Linked DNA regions of Xenopus tropicalis. The protein of the gene in region 2 binds, or shares a complex with, the protein of the main gene of each other region. Links are inferred from orthologs where the notes say so. Each region holds a gene or a part of one and is shown on either strand. Other genes may lie near its edges. The genes, in order: pigu, pigs and gpaa1.

What was found.
Region 1: the proteins of pigs (region 2) and pigu are in contact, whole or in part, in a cryo-EM structure (PDB 8IMX), measured with the Homo sapiens proteins. The link is inferred for Xenopus tropicalis from reciprocal best matches to the Homo sapiens genes PIGS and PIGU. Residues at the interface, in NP_149975.1 of Homo sapiens: Ala4, Gly5, Ala8, Thr9, Glu12, Arg15, Arg18, Ala19, Phe22, Phe23, Val26, Leu30, Leu34, Trp35, Thr38, Thr39, Leu510, Leu511, Phe513, Ile521, Tyr522, Leu525, Phe526; in NP_536724.1 of Homo sapiens: Gln118, Phe282, Glu283, His284, Phe285, Leu287, Phe288, Phe289, Cys291, Val292, Phe293, Ile295, Phe299, Tyr300, Ile302, Pro303, Ile306, Lys307, Lys309, Glu310, Thr417, His418.
Region 3: pigs (region 2) and gpaa1 share a complex: the UniProt entries of both Homo sapiens proteins name them as parts of the GPI-anchor transamidase complex. The link is inferred for Xenopus tropicalis from reciprocal best matches to the Homo sapiens genes PIGS and GPAA1.

What each region holds. Positions count from the first base shown.
Region 1 is NC_030686.2:41,152,253-41,159,411, forward strand, and holds part of pigu (phosphatidylinositol glycan anchor biosynthesis class U protein precursor), read left to right. Parts: intron 1-228; coding exon 229-288; intron 289-3,194; coding exon 3,195-3,257; intron 3,258-3,945; coding exon 3,946-4,055; intron 4,056-4,568; coding exon 4,569-4,669; intron 4,670-4,856; coding exon 4,857-4,954; intron 4,955-5,709; coding exon 5,710-5,864; intron 5,865-6,055; coding exon 6,056-6,199; intron 6,200-6,306; coding exon 6,307-6,431; intron 6,432-6,834; coding exon 6,835-6,977; intron 6,978-7,159. UniProt on the Homo sapiens protein: Component of the glycosylphosphatidylinositol-anchor (GPI-anchor) transamidase (GPI-T) complex that catalyzes the formation of the linkage between a proprotein and a GPI-anchor and participates in GPI anchored protein biosynthesis.
Region 2 is NC_030678.2:34,643,276-34,650,534, forward strand, and holds the start of pigs (GPI transamidase component PIG-S), read left to right. Parts: upstream 1-3,617; 5' UTR 3,618-3,800; coding exon 3,801-3,834; intron 3,835-3,932; coding exon 3,933-4,072; intron 4,073-5,441; coding exon 5,442-5,553; intron 5,554-6,278; coding exon 6,279-6,368; intron 6,369-7,259. UniProt on the Homo sapiens protein: Component of the glycosylphosphatidylinositol-anchor (GPI-anchor) transamidase (GPI-T) complex that catalyzes the formation of the linkage between a proprotein and a GPI-anchor and participates in GPI anchored protein biosynthesis.
Region 3 is NC_030682.2:151,228,329-151,235,487, forward strand, and holds part of gpaa1 (glycosylphosphatidylinositol anchor attachment 1 protein), read left to right. Parts: intron 1-588; coding exon 589-736; intron 737-907; coding exon 908-1,009; intron 1,010-1,979; coding exon 1,980-2,176; intron 2,177-2,265; coding exon 2,266-2,462; intron 2,463-3,498; coding exon 3,499-3,652; intron 3,653-4,154; coding exon 4,155-4,226; intron 4,227-4,337; coding exon 4,338-4,534; intron 4,535-5,723; coding exon 5,724-5,894; intron 5,895-6,571; coding exon 6,572-6,815; 3' UTR 6,816-7,159. UniProt on the Homo sapiens protein: Component of the glycosylphosphatidylinositol-anchor (GPI-anchor) transamidase (GPI-T) complex that catalyzes the formation of the linkage between a proprotein and a GPI-anchor and participates in GPI anchored protein biosynthesis. Binds GPI-anchor.

The DNA.
Region 1 (7,159 bases), on a different chromosome or scaffold from region 2:
ATCTAGCTTAGTTTGTATGTTTCTGACTCTTGTTTGTGGGCTGAGCGCCGCCCACTGCTTAATTTTGGTTTGTGTGGGTGTATGTTTGTACCTGCAATTAAATATATTGAGTAGTAAGTGTCCAAAACAATGCTACGGTTTCATAGGAAGTGTAGGTCACATGCGTATTTAGAATAATACAGAGTTAGATTCAAAAATTTAATTTTGACATTTGTTTTTTTTCAACAGACGCCGCTCATTTTATATCTCTTCCATTTCCTTGTAGACTATGCAGAGATAGTATTCATGGTAAGTGTATAACCGTACCTTTGTCTCTATTTAATTTAGGGGGGCACAGGCAAAGTCTGCTTTATGGGAGGCAAGGATGGTGAAAGAACAGAACAGCTGACAGAGCTCCAGGTGGCTCTGCTGTCCCAAACGTGTTCTTTCACAAGCACCTTTTCTCCAGAGAAACAACCCCCAACCTTGACAGTTTTTCTTTCCCATTTATTTTCTGGGGATTAGTAGCCATGACAAGTAGTTGCTACTAAGTACAGTCATGTAAAAAAATTAGGACACCCTATGATTTTTGTATTCTTGGAGATATGGATATTTCATCTACATTTTAACAATACTGGGAGATTCAAGTAATATAACTAACCAATTAAAACTGAAGAAAAGACTTTTCAAAATCTTCTGTAAAATGTAATTCTACAAAAATGCAATTTCTGGTGAGGAATAAATCAGGACACCCCCACATTTAGTCCCGCTTTAAATGGCTAAAATCACCCACAGGTGTATCACATCAGGTGCACATGATAAGAACATCATTACTCAGCATTGTGAAGGAGGTTTGTCCTATTAAGGCTGATGCCACATGTGGCGTTTTTCCGCTGCGTATTTTCTAATTCTCTCAGTGGCTGAAAAACGCCTGATATCATCATCCATAGAAATAACTTGAAAAGACGCGAAGCAAACCACACAATGCGGAAATACGCTAGAAAACGCCTTAGCATGGATTTTTCAAGCGTTGGCCGAAATATGCCAGTATTTGCAAAGCAACCTATTCCTATGTATACACAAAGGCAGATGCCAGACCTAGCGGAAATACGCTGCGTTTTTTCCTATTTCGCACTATTAGCACCATGGAAACGGGATTTGCTTACGTCACCAGTACTAGGCTGAAAAACGCCATAGTCAGGGGCTGTATAGGTTGTGCGGCGTTTTTAGGCTGAGAAAAAACGCAGCGGAAAAACGCCACGTGTGGCATCAGCCTTGGCACGGATTTTTCAAGCGTTGGCTGAAATACGCCAGTATTTGCACAGCAAGCTATTCCTATGTATACACAAAGGTAGATGCCAGACCTAGCTGAAATACACAGCATTTTTTTACTATTTTGCACCATTAGCACCATGGAAACGGGATTTGCTATGTCACCAGTACTAGGCTGAAAAACGCCATAGTCAGGGGCTGTGTGGCTTGTGCGGCGTTTTTACGCTGCGTATTTTCTAATTTTCTCGCCGGCTGAAAAACGCACAATATCATCTTCCATAGAAAAGACTCGAAGCAAACCACACAATGTGTAAATACGCTAGAAAACACCTTACCACGGATTTTTCAAGCGTTTGCCATAATACGCCAGTATTTGCACAGCAAGCTATTCCTATGTATACACAAAGGCAGCTGCCAGACCTAGCAGAAATACGCAGCGTTTTTTACTATTTTGCACTATTGGCACCATGGAAACGGGATTTGCTATGTCACCAGTACTAGGCTGAAAAACACCATAGTCAGGGGCTGTGTGGCTTGTGCGGCGTTTTTAGGCTGAGAAAATACACAGCGTAAAAACGCCACGTGTGGCATCAGCTAAACCTCAGACATTTTGTTTGGTGTGCTCCTGGCTGTTGAGGTGAGAGTGAACACCATGGTAAGATCAAAATAGCTGTTTGAGGCCTTCAGAAAGAAGATTGTAGCAGCTAATAAGTCTGGTAAGGGATTTAAAAGCTATTCCACTGTCTGGAAAATAGTCTACAAGTGGAAGTCTTTCAAAACAACTGCCAACATGCCCAGTTCTGGCCGTCCAAGCAAGTTCAATGTGAGACCGCAAGATGCTAAAAGAAGTCCCTAAAAACCCTAAAATGTCATCACGGGACCTACAGCAGGCTCTACAATCAGAAAGAGACTGGACAACTTCAACTTGCATGGGAGGTGTGCAAGGAGGAAACCTTTGCTCTCTAAAAGAAACATCAAGGCCAGACTGAAGTTTGCCAGAGAGAATGTAGACAAACACCAGGACTTCTGGAATAATGTTCTTTGGACAGATGAGGCTAAAACTGAATTAGTTGGACACTAGAACAGAGGACATGTTTGGCGTAAACCAAATACAGCATTCCAGGAAAAGAACCTCGTACCAACTGTGAAGCATGGAGGTGAAAGTGTCATGGTTTGGGGATGCTTTGCTGCAGCAGGACCTGGCCAGCTCACTATCATATAATCTACTATGAATTCTACTGTGTATCAGAGGGTGTTTGAGGAACATGTGAGACCATCTGTAAGAAAATTAAAGCTGAAGCAGAACTGGACCCTGCAACACAACAATGACCCAAACCATACCGGTAAATCCACCAAGGACTGGCTGAAAACTAAGTAATGGAGAGTCCTGGAGTGGCCGAGTCAAAGCCCAGCTCTTATTCCCATTGAGATGCTGTGGGGTGACTTGACGAGCTGTACATTCAAGAAACCCCTCAAACATCTCACAGCTGAAAGAATTCTGCATTGAGGAGTGGGGCAAACTTTCCTCAGACCAATACCAGAGACTGGTAGATGGCTACAAGAAGTGTCTCACTGCAGTTATTTCAGCCAAAGGGGGTAACACTAGCTATTAGCGAGTATGGTGTCCTAACTTTTTCCTCAGAATACACATTTGTGTTGATATCTTTTGTTTACCTGCAATTAAATCCACAGATAAATAAAAACAAGATTAGACATCGGTATGTCTTAACAAAGAACTGAATATTTGGGGGTGTCCTTTTCACATGACTGTAGCTCAGTGTGTCTTTGCCCTTTTTGTTTCAATAAGTATTTGCTGAGCTACATCTACCTGTAACCCTGATGTTTGCAGAGCCGGAGGTTGTCTGTACTTGCTATATTGTTTTTGTTGACCTGTGTGTCGGTGGCGTGGGTATTTTGCAATAAATCTCATTCTTTCCCCCCAGATAACAGATGCCCTCACTGCTATAACTCTGTACCTTGCCGTCAAGGACTACAACAAATTAATGGTAAGATTGGTTTTAGATTCATGAAACGGGATCAGAAATGTTAATTTCTACAGGAATATTTTGGAGTGAGTTATACTCCAAATAACAGATGGAAGGTAATGCTGTAAAGTTCTTTGCTTAAGGCTTATTTGGCTCAGATCTTACTGTAAGCAGGAATCAATATCTGCTTCCTGCTGGACATAGTAATATCTCTCTTGAGAATTTGAAGGCAATCTATTCTCTGCTTCAGAGTAAGAAGCTAAAAACATCAGATGCTGGTCTGAAACGGAGACTTGCATGATGGGTTTTCTAAGGTAAATCAAAAAAGTGACTGTTTCCTCTTAAACAGACAGGAAGTGAGTTGGATTTAGTTATATTGATTACCCGGAAGAGGATGTGGCCAAAAAGCTATTAGCATCATTTTTCTGCGACAGACCTACATAATCTTTAGTTTATGCCTTTGTACAATGTGTAATATAGACAGCTATGTGCTGATCAGGCATTGTCTCAACTGTGTATCGGCAGAGCAATTACAACCCTGTGCCTTCAGCCTTAAACCTTAAAGATCGGTGCCCCTCTATCGGGCAAAGCTATTCATAGATTTTATATAAACCCAACACCACAGGGATTCATTGCTAAAAACGTATTGCCTCTTCCTGTCAACTGCTTGTAATGGGATTAATGCAGGCGTTCTATTTTTCCTCTGCAGTTTAAGAAGCAAAAGCTTTTATTGGAGCTGAAGAGATATTCACAGGAAGGACATGATCTCCTAAGGGTACCGACTGAGATGTACTATGTACCATTGAAGGTGGCTTTATTGTAAGTGGTAATATACATGTCTGGACTGGGTTTCAAAATAGGCCCTGGCGCTACAATTACAGAGACCCAAACAAGCAATATATACATTCAACACTGCCTACTTGTTGTTTATACTGTATATGGCCAAAAGTATCTGGACTGTGCCTGTCTAATATCTCCAAAACCATGGGTGTGTATATGAAGTTGATGGGATTTGCTTTTGTTCTCTCACAAGAGCATTAGAGGGGTTGGGCACTAATGTTGGGAGTCAGGCCTTATTAATATCCATCCCCCACATGTTCAGTTGGGTTGAGGTCAGGGCCCGGTGCAGGCCTGTCAAGTTCTTACAAACCCATTTTCTATGGGCCACACGCTGTGCATAGGGATATTACTATGCTGTAACAGAAAAAGGGTCTTCCCCCAAATTGTTGCTTGAAAGCATGAAATTATCATGTATGTCATTAAGGTTTGCTTTAACTGGAACCACGGGCCTTTTCAATGGAAATTTCTCACTGGCACTATTATTCTCTCTAGCTACTTGCTGAATCCATACACAGTTCTGTCCTGTGTGGCCAAATCTACGTGTGTCATTAACAATGCAGTTATTGCCCTCTTCATCCTGGCAACTGTGAAAGGTGTGTATCTCCCTACTGTTTCTATATGGTCTGAGACATGCAGTCTTTTGCCTTTGTTAAAAAGGTTTTATTATTTAAAGCAGTATGCAATTGTGGGGGGGGGGGGGGGGAAAGGGCTTTTATTTTGCTCATGTTGAGCACAGCTGTATATGTCAAAAACTAATCTTTATCCTGTTTTGTTTTTCAGGTAGCCGGTTACTGAGTGCTGTGTTTCTGTCAGTGGCAACCTATCAGTCCCTGTATCCAATCACCTTATTGCCACCGGCGCTGCTCTACTTGCTTCAGGTGCCTGGTGAAACGGATGTGTATGCAACTGCTACTTATAAAGTGTACTAATGGCAGTGCCATGTTTATGGGCTCAGTCCCCCTAGGCCCAAAGTGTACTAATGGCAGTGACATGTTTATGGGCTCAGTCCCCCTAGGCCCAAAGTGTACTAATGGCAGTGCCATGTTTATGGGCTCAGTCCCCCTTAGGCCCAAAGTGTACTAATTGCAGTGTCATGTTTATGGGCTCAGTCCCCCCTAGGCCCAAAGTGTACTAATGGCAGTGCCATGTTTATGGGCTCGGCCCCCCCTAGGCCCAAAGTGTACTAATGGCAGTGCCATGTTTATGGGCTCGGTCCCCCCTAGGCCCAAAGTGTACTAATGGCAGTGCCATGTTTATGGGCTCAGTCCCCCCTAGGCCCAAAGTGTACTAATGGCAGTGCCATGTTTATGGGCTCAGTCCCCCCTAGGCCCAAAGTGTACTAATGGCAGTGCCATGTTTATGGGCTCAGTCCCCCCTAGGCCGAAAGTGTACTAATGGCAGTGCCATGTTTATGGGCTCAGCCCCCCCTAGGCCCAAAGTGTACTAATTGCAGTGTCATGTTTATGGGCTCGGTCCCCCCTAGGCCCAAAGTGTACTAATGGCAGTGCCATGTTTATGGGCTCAGTCCCCCCCAGACCCAAAGTGTACTAATGGCAGTGACATATTCTAGTGTCTGCACCCAAAATATACTATGGCTTTGTGTAGTAATTATGTTTTTGATTTCATTTTTTAGAAAGAATTTATCCCAATAAAGATGAAGAGTCCATCCTTCTGGCTGTTCAGCTGCCAGTATTGCTCTATGTACCTTGGTTGTTTGTGTGTACTAGTCTGTCACTCTTTCTTCTTGCTCAACTCCTGGGATTTCATACCTTCTATATATGGCTTCATGTAAGTTCTTTTTTTAAAAAAAGAAAAAAAAAAAAAATATTATTAGTATCCTTTATTAATGTAGCACCGACATATTCTGCAGTGCTTTAAAGTAACTAAGCAAAATAATAGTTTTGTATGACAGTAGTTGTAATAAAAAGTGATTAAGGGATTTGTGTTATATGATGCCTTTTGATATTTTCTGTTTACAGACTCTCTGTACCAGACCTGACACCAAATATCGGCCTGTTTTGGTATTTCTTCGCGGAAATGTTCGAACACTTCAGTCTGTTCTTTGTCTGCGTCTTTCAGATCAATGTTTTCTTCTACATCGTGCCTCTCACCATCAAGTTAAAGTAAATATTCCACGTGTAGTGCTGCTGATACAGACCTGTGCTTATGATACAATGAATGTTGCTCCGTAATCTATATTTTGCTCAAACTTTCTGTCTCTTATTTGCAGGGATCATCCTATGTTCCTAATGTTCATGCAGCTTGCCGTCATCTCTATCTTTAAGTCCTACCCCACTGTAGGTGACGTGGCTCTCTATATGGCCCTACTACCAATGTGGGCTCACTTGTCCAGGTGTAAGTGCCTTTCCATTTATTCATACTAATAGAGGGAAATACTGAGAGTGCTGCCAATTGGACCAACAAATCCTGGCAAAGTTGATTTTATTCTTACTGCTGTGTTGCCAAAAAGGGCTCTGGTCAATTTGAATAACAACTATGAGTGCTGGAACTTTCAAGTCAGCAACTTCCAGTTTCCAATAAAGCTTTTGGATATGTCATGCATAGGCTGATGGATCAAATTGCATTAGGAGAATAATTTTCGATATGATTATAGTTGCTGGGATTGTACTGTACAAGAGTGGACATTCCCCTAAATATGAATGTTGCATCTAAAAAACAAAACTCATGTGACATAATTTAGTATTTAGTCTTTCGATTTTTTTTGTCTGTAACCTATTAACTTTCTGTATACCTTTAGTTCTGCGCAACGTCTTTATCGTGTCCTGCATGCTGATAGTGTGCACGCTGCTATTTCCAGTGCTGTGGCATCTGTGGATTTATGCCGGAAGTGCCAACTCAAACTTTTATTATGCCATCACGCTCTCATTTAATGTTGGCCAGGTAGGTTCTCTCTCTCTCTTATCTGTGTCATAAATATATGCACGCCAAGCTGTCTTGTTTATTTCAAGGAAAACCAAATCTCAACAAAGAATTAGGCTGCTCCTTTTTTTGAACTTATATAACACCCCAAGGCACCACAGCAGATGATCTATGCTGCTGTCAGCAATATTAGGATGTATGTA
Region 2 (7,259 bases):
GAAAAAGTGATTGCCCCCCTTGTTAAAAAATAACTTAACTGTGGTTTATCAATTTCAATTTTCAATTTCAATATCAATTTCTGTAGTCACCCCCAGGCCTGACTACTGCCACACCTGTTTCAATCAAGAAATCACTTAAATAGGAGCTACCTGACACAGAGAAGTAGACCAAAAGCACCTCAAAAGCTAGACATCATGCCAAGATCCAAAGAAATTCAGGAACAAATGAGAACAAAAGTAACTGAGATCTATCAGTCTGGTAAAGGTTATAAAGCCATTTCTAAAGCTTTGGGACTCCAGTGAACCACAGTGAGAGCCATTATCCACAAATGGCAAAAACATGGAACAGTGGTGAACCTTCCCAGGAGTGGCCGGCCGACCAAAATTACCCCAAGAGCGCAGAGACAACTCATCCGAGAGGCCACAAAAGACCCCAGGACAACATCTAAAGAACTGCAGGCCTCACTTGCCTCAATTAAGGTCAGTGTTCACGACTCCACCATAAGAAAGAGACTGGGCAAAAACGGCCTGCATGGCAGATTTCCAAGGCACAAACCACTTTTAAGCAAAAAGAACATTATGGCTCGTCTCAATTTTGCTAAAAAACATCTCAATGATTGCCAAGACTTTTGGGAAAATACCTTGTGGACCGACGAGACAAAAGTTGAACTTTTTGGAAGGTGCGTGTCCCGTTACATCTAGCGTAAAAGTAACACAGCATTTCAGAAAAAGAACATCATACCAACAGTAAAATATGGTGGTGGTAGTGTGATGGTCTGGGGTTGTTTTGCTGCTTCAGGACCTGGAAGGCTTGCTGTGTCTACCAAAAAATCCTGAAGGAGAATGTCCGGTCATCTGTCAACTCAAGCTGAAGCGATCTTGGGTGCTGCAGCAGGACAATGACCCAAAACACACCAGCAAATCCACCTCTGAATGGCTGAAGAAAAACAAAATGAAGACTTTGGAGTGGCCTAGTCAAAGTCCTGACCTGAATCCTATTGAGATGTTGTGGCATGACCTTAAAAAGGCAGTTCATGCTAGAAAACCCTCAAATAAAGCTGAATTACAACAATTCTGCAAAGATGAGTGGGCCAAAATTCCTCCAGAGCGCTGTAAAAGACTCGTTGCAAGTTATCGCAAACGCTTGATTGCAGTTATTGCTGCTAAGGGTGGCCCAACCAGTTATTAGGTTCAGGGGGCAATTACTTTTTCACACAGGGCCATGTAGGTTTGGATTTTTTTTCTCCCTAAATAATAAAAACCCTCATTTAAAAACTGCATTTTGTGTTTACTTGTGTTATCTTTGACTAATAGTTAAATGTGTTTGATGATCAGAAACATTTTGTGTGACAAACATGCAAAAGAATAAGAAATCAGGAAGGGGGCAAATAGTTTTTCACACCACTGTAAGTTCAAAAGTAAAACACAGCAAAATGGTAGTCTGCACCCAGCAGAAAGAAAGTGCATATAAGGTGTTAATGAAATGGTATCTTACCCCAAACAGAATCTCCAAAATCTACCCCAATAGCAGCCACATGTGCTGGAGAGACTGCCACCAAAGAGGTACGCTACACCATATTTTTTCGGCTTGCCCCAAAATCTCTAACTTTTGGCTGGAAATGGGCAACTTGATACAAACAGTCCTAAAAACACCAATACATATAGAATTATCCCACTTACTATTGGGACTCCCCCTCCCAAAGACCACCACCTCGACCCAAAAACAGGTTAACCAAATAGCCACTGCGGCTAGACTAGCAATTACTGCTAAATGAAAATCTACAGTAGTCCCCACCATCCAAGAAGTCATTTCCAGGGTAGAAAACAATAGAAAATTTGAGGAAATGACAGCACAAATATCCAACACACTACAAAGACATAATATCTGGGATAGTTGGGACTACTTCCAAACCATGGAAAATAATAACACTCCGCCTACCTGAAAATTGGGCCTTCTCAGAAAGCCACTCAATGAAACCAAGCGGAGAGCCCCACACCAGCATCTCCCCCATGGAGAAACTGACGCCACTAAAACAAATCCAGTGACAACACCACAAAATCTGCCTCACCTTGCCCCTCTATAACTCCACGTTAAAAACGGTCCTTTATTTTGTTCCTGTTTTGCTTTTCTTGCCTTTTTTTTTTACACTTTCTTTTCCTCTTTTTGGTTTATAAATGTTATAAATATAACAATGTACAAATAATGTAAAGAGACATTAAACAGTTTGTACAAAAAAAAATTTTTTTTTTAAGTTACAAAAAAAAAATAAAACACAGAACTCCTTTGATGTTGCTCTGCTCAGGAAAGACACAAGGAAGCAGTTTAAAAACAGCTTAATTGCTTTGAAACAAAAAATAATGCAAATTGCATTAGGTTTTTAGAAGAGCAGATATCACCGTATAATGGAGAGCAGATACTTAATGAGCATATCTCACTGAGTCAGATAATTGTCTTACACGTTTTATGTTCACATGATACTTAATCATAGGCAAAAGATTATAAAAACACCCTCAAAAGAGAGAAGTGATAGCTTAAAAGATTTAATTGGGCCCACGGAACAGGTCAGATTGAGAAGGGGTGCCCAGGGTATTACAAACTGGTAAGTGCATTGTTGGAAAATTTTCAACATGGTCCCTAGGTGGACTGGCAATCTGTGGATTCTGGCAAATGCCAGAGGGGCTTCTGTGAGATGCCATAGAGTCTAGACCAGGGGTCGGGAACCTTTTTGGCCGAGAGAGCCATAAACACCACATATTTTAAAATGTAATTCCATGAGAGCCATACAATATGTTTGGCCGCGGATGCTGCGGGGCAAGGTCGGGTGGGTCCCAAGGATGCCGGATGCGGATGTAATGCAGAGGAGGGCGTGGCCTGCGCTTGGCGAATAGAAGGCTTAGAACATGTCTTCTATCCGCCGAGCGCAGGCCATGACCCCCATTATTTTTTTTTATTATTTAAGATTTAGTAGCGAGCCAGATGCAGCCATCAAAAGAGCCACATCTGGCTCCCGAGCCATAGGTTCCCTACCCCTGGTCTAGACAGTCTGGTCCTGGACATTTGTAAAATGTTGTAGGTAGGCAGGGAGTTATGAGAATTGGGAAACGCTTAGTTTCCTCAACAAACCCTGTATGCCTATATAATTAGAAGTTTGCTGATGGAAAGCCTTATTTTGGTAGTATCTCCACACAAAAATGTTACCCTCCTCCCCTGAGGCAACCAAAGCTAGATAACTTGTAATCTTCCACTTAGAACCGGGGCACTAACCAAAACGCATTGGAGGAAGTGGGGGCTCTTCCTACATTTATTTCTATAGCCCCGCCCACTGACATAACATGAGTGCCTTCCAATCCAGTTTCACTTACCCAGGGAGATTTACACTAGTATTATGTAAGGTAAGAACAACGCTTAAAAAAGCAAGTAATAGCTGGGGGATTTAGTTTTCAATTCAACATTCCAAAAAAGTGTGACTTGCTCTGTGTGGTACAACAATAATTCTAGTATACTTCTACTTGATAATTGTGTAAAGAGATAATTACACTACATTAAACACTTAACAACGCCATAAACGCAGTCCAAAGCTGGCTACACTGTTTTAGCAAATAAAGCGGCTGATAAAATGAGCCGCCTTACAGACCGCCTTGGGTTTCCTACAGCTTTCCTAGACTCTGCGTGACAATTCGAGGCTACAATATTCTGCGACCGTTGATTGGTTAACGTGAAACTTTCTGACGCCTGATTGGCTTACACTTCTGCAAATCACCAACTAGCCGCATTGACAAGGCGGAAGAAGAAAGCAAACATGGCGGCGCCCGTCAGAAGTTTTGATGCTATCGGTAAGTGGTGCTGTTATAATTCAGTGTATGGGAAGGCGCGCCGCCGTATACATGTGGCGCAGTAGCTGACTGAGTATTTGTTCTTGTTTTCTGAAAAGAGGCTTCCCGGGGGAAGAAAGTGGCGATTTCAATCGCATTGATTACTGCCGTTTTGGGGCTTCCTTTGTGGTGGAAAACTACCGAAACGTACCGCGCCTCTCTGCCTTATTCCGATATCAGAGGGCTGGAAACCTTACAGGTGAGATCCTGGGATAGGGGCAAGTAGCCGAGAGGTTTCCCACCCTGCTGTTTTTTAACTACAAATCTGGACATCCCTATTGACAGCCAGATCAAGGTCTCCCAATAGGCAGAAAACTGCTGACATATGCAACTCCCTGTGCTGCCATAATGGAGTGCATTGAGTTGTTCCTGGGTCTGTATACACAGTGCTGCATGCAAGCTTGGTTTAAGCTTAGGATGGAGTTACCAGATCACTTGAAAATTCATAGACGCATCTAATGAATGCATGTTGCAGGGTTGGTTGTGTTTAAATGAAATTGCAATCAGTGAAACCCTTCTGGCTGCATTTTCCCTGGTTTTTCCAGTGATCTGGTAACCTTCCCTTAGGGCAGTGATCCCCAACCAGTGGCTCGTGAGCAATGTGTTGCTTGCCCAACCCCTTGGGATGTTGCTCTCAGTGGCCTCAAAGCAGGTGCTTATTTTTGAATTTCTGGTTAGGAGACAAGCTTTGATAAACCCCAGTGTAATTGCCAAACAGAGCCTTCTGTAGGCTTACAGTCAACATAGGGGCTATCAAATAGCCAATTATAGCTGTCATTGGCACCTCCAGGAATTTTTTTTAATTCTTGCGTTGCTCTTCAAAACTTTTTCCATTTGAATGTGGCTCACACGTATAAAAGTTTGGGGATCCCTGCCTTAGGGTCTTTGTATTCCATGGGAGAACAACTATGTCTTTTGACAGAAAAGCGATAGGGTGTGTTTTATAGCAGACTACATCATTTAATTATGTGAGCCCCGTGGCAATGCACTCAATGATGGACGAGGGTCCAGTTAAGGCTGATGCCACACGTGGCGTTTTTACGCTGCGTTTTTTCTCAGCCTAAAAACGCCGCACAAGCCACACAGCCCCTGACTATGGCGTTTTTCAGCCTAGTACTGGTGACGTAGCAAATCCCGTTTCCATGGTGCTAATAGTGCGAAATAGCAAAAAACGCAGCGTATTTCCGCTAGGTCTGGCAGCTGCCTTTGTGTATACATAGGAATAGCTTGCTGTGCAAATACTGGCGTATTTCGGCCAACGCTTGAAAAATCCGTGCTAAGGCATTTTCTAGCGTATTTACACATTGTGTGGTTTGCTTCGAGTCTTTTCAAGTTATTTCTATGGATGATGTTATCGGGTGTTTTTCAGCCGCTGAGAAAATTAGAAAATACGGAGTGCAGCGTTTTTTTTTTCCCCCCCATAACACTGTACATAAGGGTACACACCAATATCCACAGCACTGTACATACCTACAAACCAGTATAGTAGGCAATAAGGACCCTGCCTGCAAGGACTTGCAATCTTAAGGGGCTCTTTTGTAACTGTTGTCATGCTGTTCTTTAATTAGCTCCATCTTACTGTGCCAATTGAGATAATATTTGGGAAAGCAACACTGACTGCAGAGCAACAAAGGAACGTTCCCTCAACTGGTTTAAAGGAGACAGAGACTGTACTAAATGGTAAGTAAATGTTTTCAGCAGACATATATTTATTATTGTCTCTGTAGGCAAAGTCATATATGGCATATATGGGCGTCACTGTAAGAAATAGATATTTATTTATAACCAAGAGTGAGTTATTGGGAATAAGGCAATTCATATTCCTTTTAAATAAAGGACTAAAAAAAAAAGAGACAGAACAAATACAGAGAAATCTATAGAAGCCAAGTCCAATACATAGTGCCCACAGGACATTTGGAATGCCTGATTATACAGTAATTAACAGTTCCTAAGAAACATATAAATGCCACTGGAGTATGGGTATTGGACCTCTTATTCATAATGCTTGGAACCTGGGCTTTTTCATATAAGGGTCTTTCCTTAATTTAGATCTGCATACCTTAAAAATGTATTTAAAGATTAAATAAACCCAGTAGGATTGTTTTGACACCAATATGGATTCATGCAGCATAGCTACCATAAAGTAAATTACAGTAAAAAAAGACATTTTTGAACATTAGAATTATTTGCTTAAAATAAGAGTCCATAGGATTTCTCCTTCCCACAGTTCAGATCTTTCTGGATAATGGGTTTCCAGAAAACTGATACCTGTTCTAGACACTGGCATTCATAATAATAAAGCTATACCCCTGTAGTATTCATTGCTTATCTATTTCCTGTTGATTGGAAACTGTGTGCTCCATACATGTATAATCTTTCCAGTTAATTTTGTTTGTTTTAATCAGCTCAGACAAGTATCACCCGTCACTATGAGTTCAAGTATAGAAGGACAAGCGTTGATGAGGAGGAAGCACTTGGTCTGAAGAGTTTGCAAGGTACTGGTGGTTTCTTAATAAAATGCTTTACCACCCATTTTCCAAGAGGAGAAAAAATGTTTGGTAAAATAAGATTATTGTTTTACATAGCACTTTTATTTTCATCCAGAGAAAAACACTATGGACACTGTGTAAAATGTAAATAAAAAGAATGGGGTGATTTGCAAATCCATTAAACCCTATATGTATTAGTAGTTAGTTAGTATTAGTACAATACAATTGTGAAACGGAATACGGAGAAATGCTGGGGAGTGATGTGCAACAAAATCATCATTTTCTTTGGGCAAATTGTGCAAAATGTCAAACCTATTTGATAAAGAAACTGCACTTGTGATTATTATACTAGCCATTGTGAACAATTTGTAAACAAACTGAATGCCTGAGTTTTTGATAAGAAATTTTGTTACCAAGGTCCCTGGCACCTTGGTCTTAATCACAAACCAGGAGCATGTATGCTGCAAGCTGGGACCAGATTGACTTCCCAATAAAATGTTCTTGTGTCTGCAGGGGCCCTATCTCATCTCATTTATACCACACCCTTGGAAAGTTAAATCCATTTAATAGTTCCCATCATTATAGTGAAAACGTCTTTCTTACAGTCTTAATGAATGTCCTTTCTTAAAGATTCCATCCTAGGATCTTTCTCTTATGCCCAGTATGTTACCCCAGACAAAAAACCCGGAACCATTAAGTCAGATTTTGTGTGGAAATGCTTGCGTATGCAAAATCCAATGCTCGTGCCTGCACTCTGGCTAACACAGTAGTTCCAGGTGCAAGCAAGGAGGAAGGATGATGCCAACATTGGGGCAGATTTTCATGGCATTAGCCTTACTCTTGTAGTGAAAGGAAACCTGTGTATTCAGGGCTGCCACCGGGGGGGGGGGGGGGTAG
Region 3 (7,159 bases), on a different chromosome or scaffold from region 2:
CCTCCCAGCTCACCCTCCTGCTCCCCACTGTGTCCTCTCCCTCCCTGCTGTGTCCTCTCCCTCCCTGCTGTGTCCTCTCCCTCCCCACTCCGCCCTCCCAGCTCCCCCCTCCTGCTCCCCACTGTGTCCTCTCCCTCCCTGCTGTGTCCTCTTCCTCCCCACTCCGCCCTCCCAGCTCACCCTCCTGCTCCCCACTGTGTCCTCTCCCTCCCTGCTGTGTCCTCTCCCTCCCCACTCCGCCCTCCCAGCTCACCCTCCTGCTCCCCACTGTGTCCTCTCCCTCCCTGCTGTGTCCTCTCCCTCCCCACTCCGCCCTCCCAGCTCCCCCCTCCTGCTTCCCACTGTGTCCTCTCCCTCCCTGCTGTGTCCTCTCCCTCCCCACTCCGCCCTCCCAGCTCCCCCCTCCTAGCTTCCCCCTGCGTCCTCTCCCTCCCTGCTGTATCCTCCCAGCTCCCCCTCCTGCTTCCCACTGCCAGGGGTGAGAATGTAGCGGGGAGCAGGTAAATTACCGTACCTTGGGGCCATAGTTTGAGTATCCCTGCTATAGAGCTAATAATCATTCTCCCTCCTTTTACCTCTCCCTGACAGATGGTGAAAGGCACCAACGTGTATGGGATACTGAGAGCTCCGCGTGCTGCCAGTACAGAGTCCTTGGTACTGAGTGTTCCTTGTAGCGAAGGGCAGAACAATAACCAGGCCGTCGGGCTTCTCTTGGCGCTGGCATCGTACTTCAGAGGTGAGAGATCCAAATGCGCTGCCTGCAATCTATGGTACTGGCCCTCCTGGTAACCATGTTCCTGCGCACGGGTCCAGTCTCCCTTCATGCACCCTTCCCCCCTTGGGTGCCGCGGCTGGCACTGTATGTGGAGCCAAACGTAGCCATTCATTTCTAATTTTGTGCTCAAAGGGCAGATCTACTGGGCTAAGGACATCATCTTCCTGGTGAACGAACACGATCTGATTGGGATGGAGGCCTGGCTGGAGGGCTACCATGATGTGAATGTGACAGGTATGTGATGCCTCCGTGCCCCGGGGCACCTTGGTGGATATCAGTGTTTGCTCGTCACGGGGCCCTGTACACCTTCAGGCTGTGGGTAGGAGATTTAAGGTCCCCATACACGGGCCAATTGGGACTGATTCGGCAGCTTATCGGCCCGTGTAGGGGCAGAAACGAGGGGCCTGCCCGACCGATATCTGGCCTGAAATTGGAAATTAGAAAATTCAGTCGGATCGGGGACCACATCGGCTCATTGATGCGGCGTCCGAACCAACTGGCCCATTGCCGCCAATATAATTTGATTGTTTGGCCCGAGGGCCAAAAGATCGAAATATCCTACACACTCCCCGATATCGCCCACCCGTAGGTGTATGGGGACCTTTATTATTCTACTTATTACTAGAGTTAAAGGTAAACTTTTCCTTTTACTATGTTGTAGAATGGTCTATTCTTAGCAACTTTTCAATTGGTGTTATTTTTTTTCCAGTTTTTTTAATTAATTGCCTTCATTTGCAGCTTTCAAATAGGGGTTACTGACCCCGGCAGCCAAACCCTATTGCTCTGTGAGGCTCCAGTTTTATTGTTATTGTTACTTTTTATTCCTTATCTTTCTATTCAGCCCCTCCCCTATTCATATTGCCCATGCCTCTTTCATACCACGGTCTGGTTTTTAGGTTAAATTGGACCCTAGCAACCAGATAGCTGCTGAAATTCCAAACTGGAGAGCCGCTGAACACAAAGTCAATAATTCAAAAAACACAAATAACAACAAATGTAGACCAATTGCGCAGGTCTCTTCAATAATGGAGTTAACCAGTTATTGGTACTCGCACATAGCGGTTTGGCCTGCGCTGCCTTCCTGTAGGTGGAAGGTGCTTGATTAATGCTCTGACGCAGCCCAGCTCCTACCTCATTAATAGAGTAGATAATTATTAGAGTATTACATGCCTTGCCGATCTCCCTCACACTCATGTCCTTGCAGAGATAAAGTCGTCGGTGATGTTGGGTCGGGCCGGAGCCATTCAGGCCGCCGTTTCCCTGGAGATGAGCAGCGACGTGATCACCAGCTTCGATTTGGTGGTGGAAGGTTTAAATGGGCAACTACCCAACCTTGACTTGGTCAACCTGTTCTACGCCTTCTGCCAGAAGAACACGCTGCTCTGCACCATTCAGGGCAAGGTCAGGCCGCTCCCATTGCCTTTCCTGTTGCACTTCCTTGTGCTCCTGTATTGCCTGGCTCAGCCCTGATCTCTCTCTATTACATTCAGCTTCAGAGAACTGACTTCGACACCTTCCCCGGGTACCTGCACAGCCTCCAGACAATGCTGATCATGATGCTGAAACAGGGCTCTGGGAGACCCCAAGGGGACCACGGCCTCTTCCTGCGCTACCACATCGAAGCCATCACCCTGCGGGGCATCAACAGCTTCCGCCAGTACAAATATGACATGAACACAGTGGGAAAGTAAGTGGCCATCTTCCCCCACTGTCACCTTGATCCTCACTGGCGGTTTGAGGAGTTACTGAGAATGACTAGAATGGGGGGTGTACCACAGTTTTCAAGCTTCGTACACCTCACAATCTAGTTGTTCTCAGTATCTCCTCACAACCCAGGTGACTTTTAGTGGCTTAAACCAGGGGCGGGCACTCTAGGCAACCATGCCCCCCCCGTAACGATTAGGGGGTGCCAGGCAGGAGCCTCTCCTGCCTACCCCTAGTCCTCCTTCATTGTCATAGAGCAGCGTGTTCTTATGGTGCTTTGGTGCGCATACACAGTTCGTGGGGGGTGTGTGCAATTCTATGGGTCATTGCCCCCACCGCTAATGACAAGCGGCAGGGCAATGACAAAGAAGGAGGACTATGGGTAGGCAGGAGAGGCTCCTGCCTGGCGCCCCCTAATCGTTGCGCCCTAGGCAGCTGCCTCTTCTGCCAACCCCTAGTTCCAGCCCTGGCTTATACACACATACATACATACATACATACTTACATAACATACATACTTGCATACATACATACTTACATACATACATACATACACACATACATACATACATACATACTTGCATACATACATACTTGCATACATACATACTTGCATACATACATACTTACATACATACATCATATCATGTGTAAATCCTGTGGATACATTTCTGGAAACGTCTCCATAGTGATGTGGAAACTTCCAGCCCCAACTTGGGCATCTTTGGTGACTGTTTAGAATTCTGACTCCCTCGCAATATGCTAGTGCAATGGTCGCCAACTGGTGGTACTTATTTTTGAATTTTTGGAGGCATTAAGACCAAACAGAGCCTCCTGTAGGCTGCCAGTCCAAATAGGGGCTTCAAATAACCAATCACAGCCCTTATTTGGCAGCCCCAGGTACCTTTTTTTATTCTTGTGTTGCTCCCCAGCTTTTTATGTTTTAGGTTTGCGTCCCCTGTTCATTACTTAAATGTGCTGTTTAACTTGCTGACACCATCATTTTTTCTCTTCTATAGGACCCTGGAAGGAATGTTCCGGAAGCTGAACAACCTCTCGGAGCGCCTGCACCAGTCGTACTTCTTCTACCTGCTGCCGTGCCTGTCCCGCTTTGTCTCCATCGGGATTTACATGCCGGCCATCGGCTTCTTCATCCTCATTTTGATCCTCAGGATATCCTTTCCCCAAACCCCGGGGGCTGTACTGTCCCCCTGGAGCACAGTTGGATATGGGTAGCCAGTCATAGTGCTACCTACATACAGAAAGATAAACTGCGGTTTCCTCTTCGGTCTGCCTAGCTGCTGATTGGCTGCCTTCCTACAGTGGGAGGGACTGTAAGTTCTCCTACACAGCCAGCAGAAAGTGGAAGGTTTTCTATTAAAGCTGAACAAAAGTAAACTTTAAAGGGGCAGTTCATCTTTTGGGTATGTAGTAGAATAGGGGTGGCCAATACGTCGATCACGGTCCACCCGTGGATTTCTGGTGGGCCTCGATGAAGCCGGGGATGCGGAAGTCACGTACATACGCATTCACGCCGCACTTCCGCATTTCCAAGTCTGCCCACCCCTGTTGCAGAATGACCAATTCTAAGCAGCTTTGCAATTGGTCTTCCTTATTTATTTTATATTGTTTTTGAATTATTTGCTCCCTGCTTTCTCCTTAACGATGTAATTACTCCCTGGACCTGTGGATTAAGCTGAGGCGCTCGGATGGGACGGCTGAGGACGGAGTCATGGATACAGAGCAGGTACCGTTGGGTCTGTAAGGGATCAGAGGAGGCAAAAGGGCTACGAGAAACAACCACTTTGACCCCCCAGCACAGTAATATATATATACATCTATCTGTTTCTTCCTGTAGGATCCAAGACCCGGAATCCTGTCCCTCGCGACCCCCATTGTGATCTGCCACGCTACCGGCCTGAGTCTGTACTACCTGCCAGTAATGAGCCAGGAGATGGCCACTGACCACTTCCCTGTCTCTGAATCCGAGGCCGTTGTTCTCACCGCTATCGCCATCTACGTGGCAGGACTTGCACTGCCCCACAACACACACAGGTACTGAGCCACAGCTGCGCCAGCTTGAGGGGCCCTTGTGGGCAGGTAGGCAGTGGCAGCGGGCTGGCAGCACCCATGATTGGCACAGCTACTGACCACTAATGCACACATGTAGTGACCTGGGCACGTTAGCCTTAGCTGCTAGTAGCCACAGAGGCTAGCACCAACACTATAGGCCTGACTTAATAAAATTCGTTGCCTTTTGGCCTTGAAAGTCGTATAAACTCAACATGTATACATTCGAATTAAACTCGATCGCTGCTGTAATTATAAAATGGCACGATAATGCCTGAATTGTTAAAACTCAAAATTCAAGTTTAAGCGGAACGTTAATTTCCATGGGGGGATTCATTTCCCCTTGAAACTGGGTGAAATAGAAAGCAATGGGGGGATTCATTTCCCCTTGAAACTGGGTGAAATAGAAAGCAATGGGGGGATTCATTTCCCCTTGAAACTGGGTGAAATAGAAAGCAATGAGGGGGTTAATTTCCCCTTGAAACTGGGTGAAATAGAAAGCAATGAGGGGATTAACTTCCCCTTGAACCTGGGTGAAATGGAAAACAGTGAGGGGGTTAACTTCCCCTTGAAACTGGGTGAAATAGAAAGCAATGAGGGGATTAATTTCCCCTTGAAACTGGGTGAAATAGAAAGCAATGAGGGGATTAATTTCCCCTTGAAACTGGGTGAAATAGAAACCAATGAGGGGATTAACTTCCCTTTGAACATGTGCCAAGGACAGGCTGTCAGTGACTATTCTATTCCTCTACTATTCTGAGCTTCCATAGGAAGCTTAAACCTTCCAACAAAGCAAGTTAACGATAAATCCCCCCCCATTCAGGGATGTAGAGCCCAAACACGAGGTTCTGATGCCCCTTGTGCTTCGGTGTTGCCCCTCAGGCTGCCCCCTTGTGCTTCATTATTACCCCGTAAGGTGTTGCCCCTCAGGCTGCCCCCTTGTGCTTCATTATTACCCCGTAAGGTGTTGCCCCTCAGGCTGCCCCCTTGTGCTTCATTATTACCCCGTAAGGTGTTGCCCCTCAGGCTGCCCCCTTGTGCTTCGTTGTTACCCCGTAAGGTGTTGCCCCTCAGGCTGCCCCCTTGTGCTTCGTTGTTACCCCGTAAGGTGTTGCCCCTCAGGCTGCTAGGGGTATAAGCAGTGCAGTAGCCATTTGATGCTTTGCCGTTACAGAGTTCTGAGCGGCGCCGGGTCGGACCAGGGCTGGATGACTCTCAAGCTGATCTCCTTACTGTACCTCGCTGTCCTTCTGGGCTGCATCTCCCTCATTAACTTCTCCCTGGGATTCCTGCTGGCGGTCACTATCGTCCCTGTGGCGGCCATTGTGCAACCTACTGGGCCAAGGTGAGTAGAAATCCTCTGCTCCGATCCACTGTGTAACGGTGCCGCTGTTGGTCTTGTGTGGTCTCTGATCTGTCACAGTCCCGCCCGGCAATTAATAATTATTGTTCTATTTCTAGCAACTTTGCAATTGGTCTTCATTATTTATTTTTTATGGTTATTGTATTATTTTCTGTGAGGCTCCAGTTTTATTGTTATTGTTACTTTTTATTCCTTATCTTTCTATTCAGCCCCTCCCCTATGTGCATTCCAGCCTTTCATTTAAATCACCGCATGGTTGCTAGGGTAATTTGGGCCAAAACTGGAAAGCTGCTAAATAAGAAGAATAACTCAAAAACAATAATACAAAATGGAGACCAATTGCAAACTGTCTCAGAATAGCAGTGTCTACATCCTACTAAAAGTAAACGCAAAGCTGAGCAAACCCTTTTATGATTGAGCCAAATCCAAATCCTGCCAAAAAGGGCAAATCGTGGCCAAATCGGGGAGTCGGTGTGTCCCTAATATCCGACTGGGGGGCCCCAATGTAATGAGATTATGTTCCATAGAGGAAGGTTCTTGGTTCTACACAATATTATTTCAGTAGTTTCAGTGTTTGTATGGAAACTCACTAAGAATAAACAGGTCTTGGCTATGACCCACCCACACTGCATGGTGTTAACCCTTTCTTCTCTCCCTAGGGCCCTGTATGCGCTCCTCCTGGTCCTGATCACCCCGGCAACCACTCTCCTCGGCAGCATCTTCCTGTACCGGGAGCTGATCGAGTACCCCGTAAGCTTGCTGGAGTGCTGGCAGCTCTTCCTTCAGGCCATCGCCGGGGGCATGTTGGACCATTACCTCTATGGCTCTTTGCTCTTCCCCTTCATTGCGTTCTTCGTCTACCCCTGCTGGCTGCAGCTCTGGAACGTGGTCTTCTGGAAATAGGAGGGGGGCAAAAATATCTCTCCATTCTCTGGCCTTAACTAGACTGTGGCCAGGTCGGACTCTCGGAACCAGAAGTCCTATTGCTATTGGCTGAGAGACCCGGCCAGGTTGAACCCAGCTGTGTGTCTCGCTAGAGAGCGCTGACTATACGGGTAATGGAGAGGGTTACAGGGCAGCAGAGGAGACAGAACTTGTGCATGAAGGTTTGGGTTGTACGGACTTATTTATATTTGTTTTGTTCAGACAGTGACTCCCAAGAGCTGACAGTCGGCATTTGGCTGTGAATCCGGCTTCTTACAACCCAACGGCCCAATATATAGAGACAAAATCAATATTATCCCTCA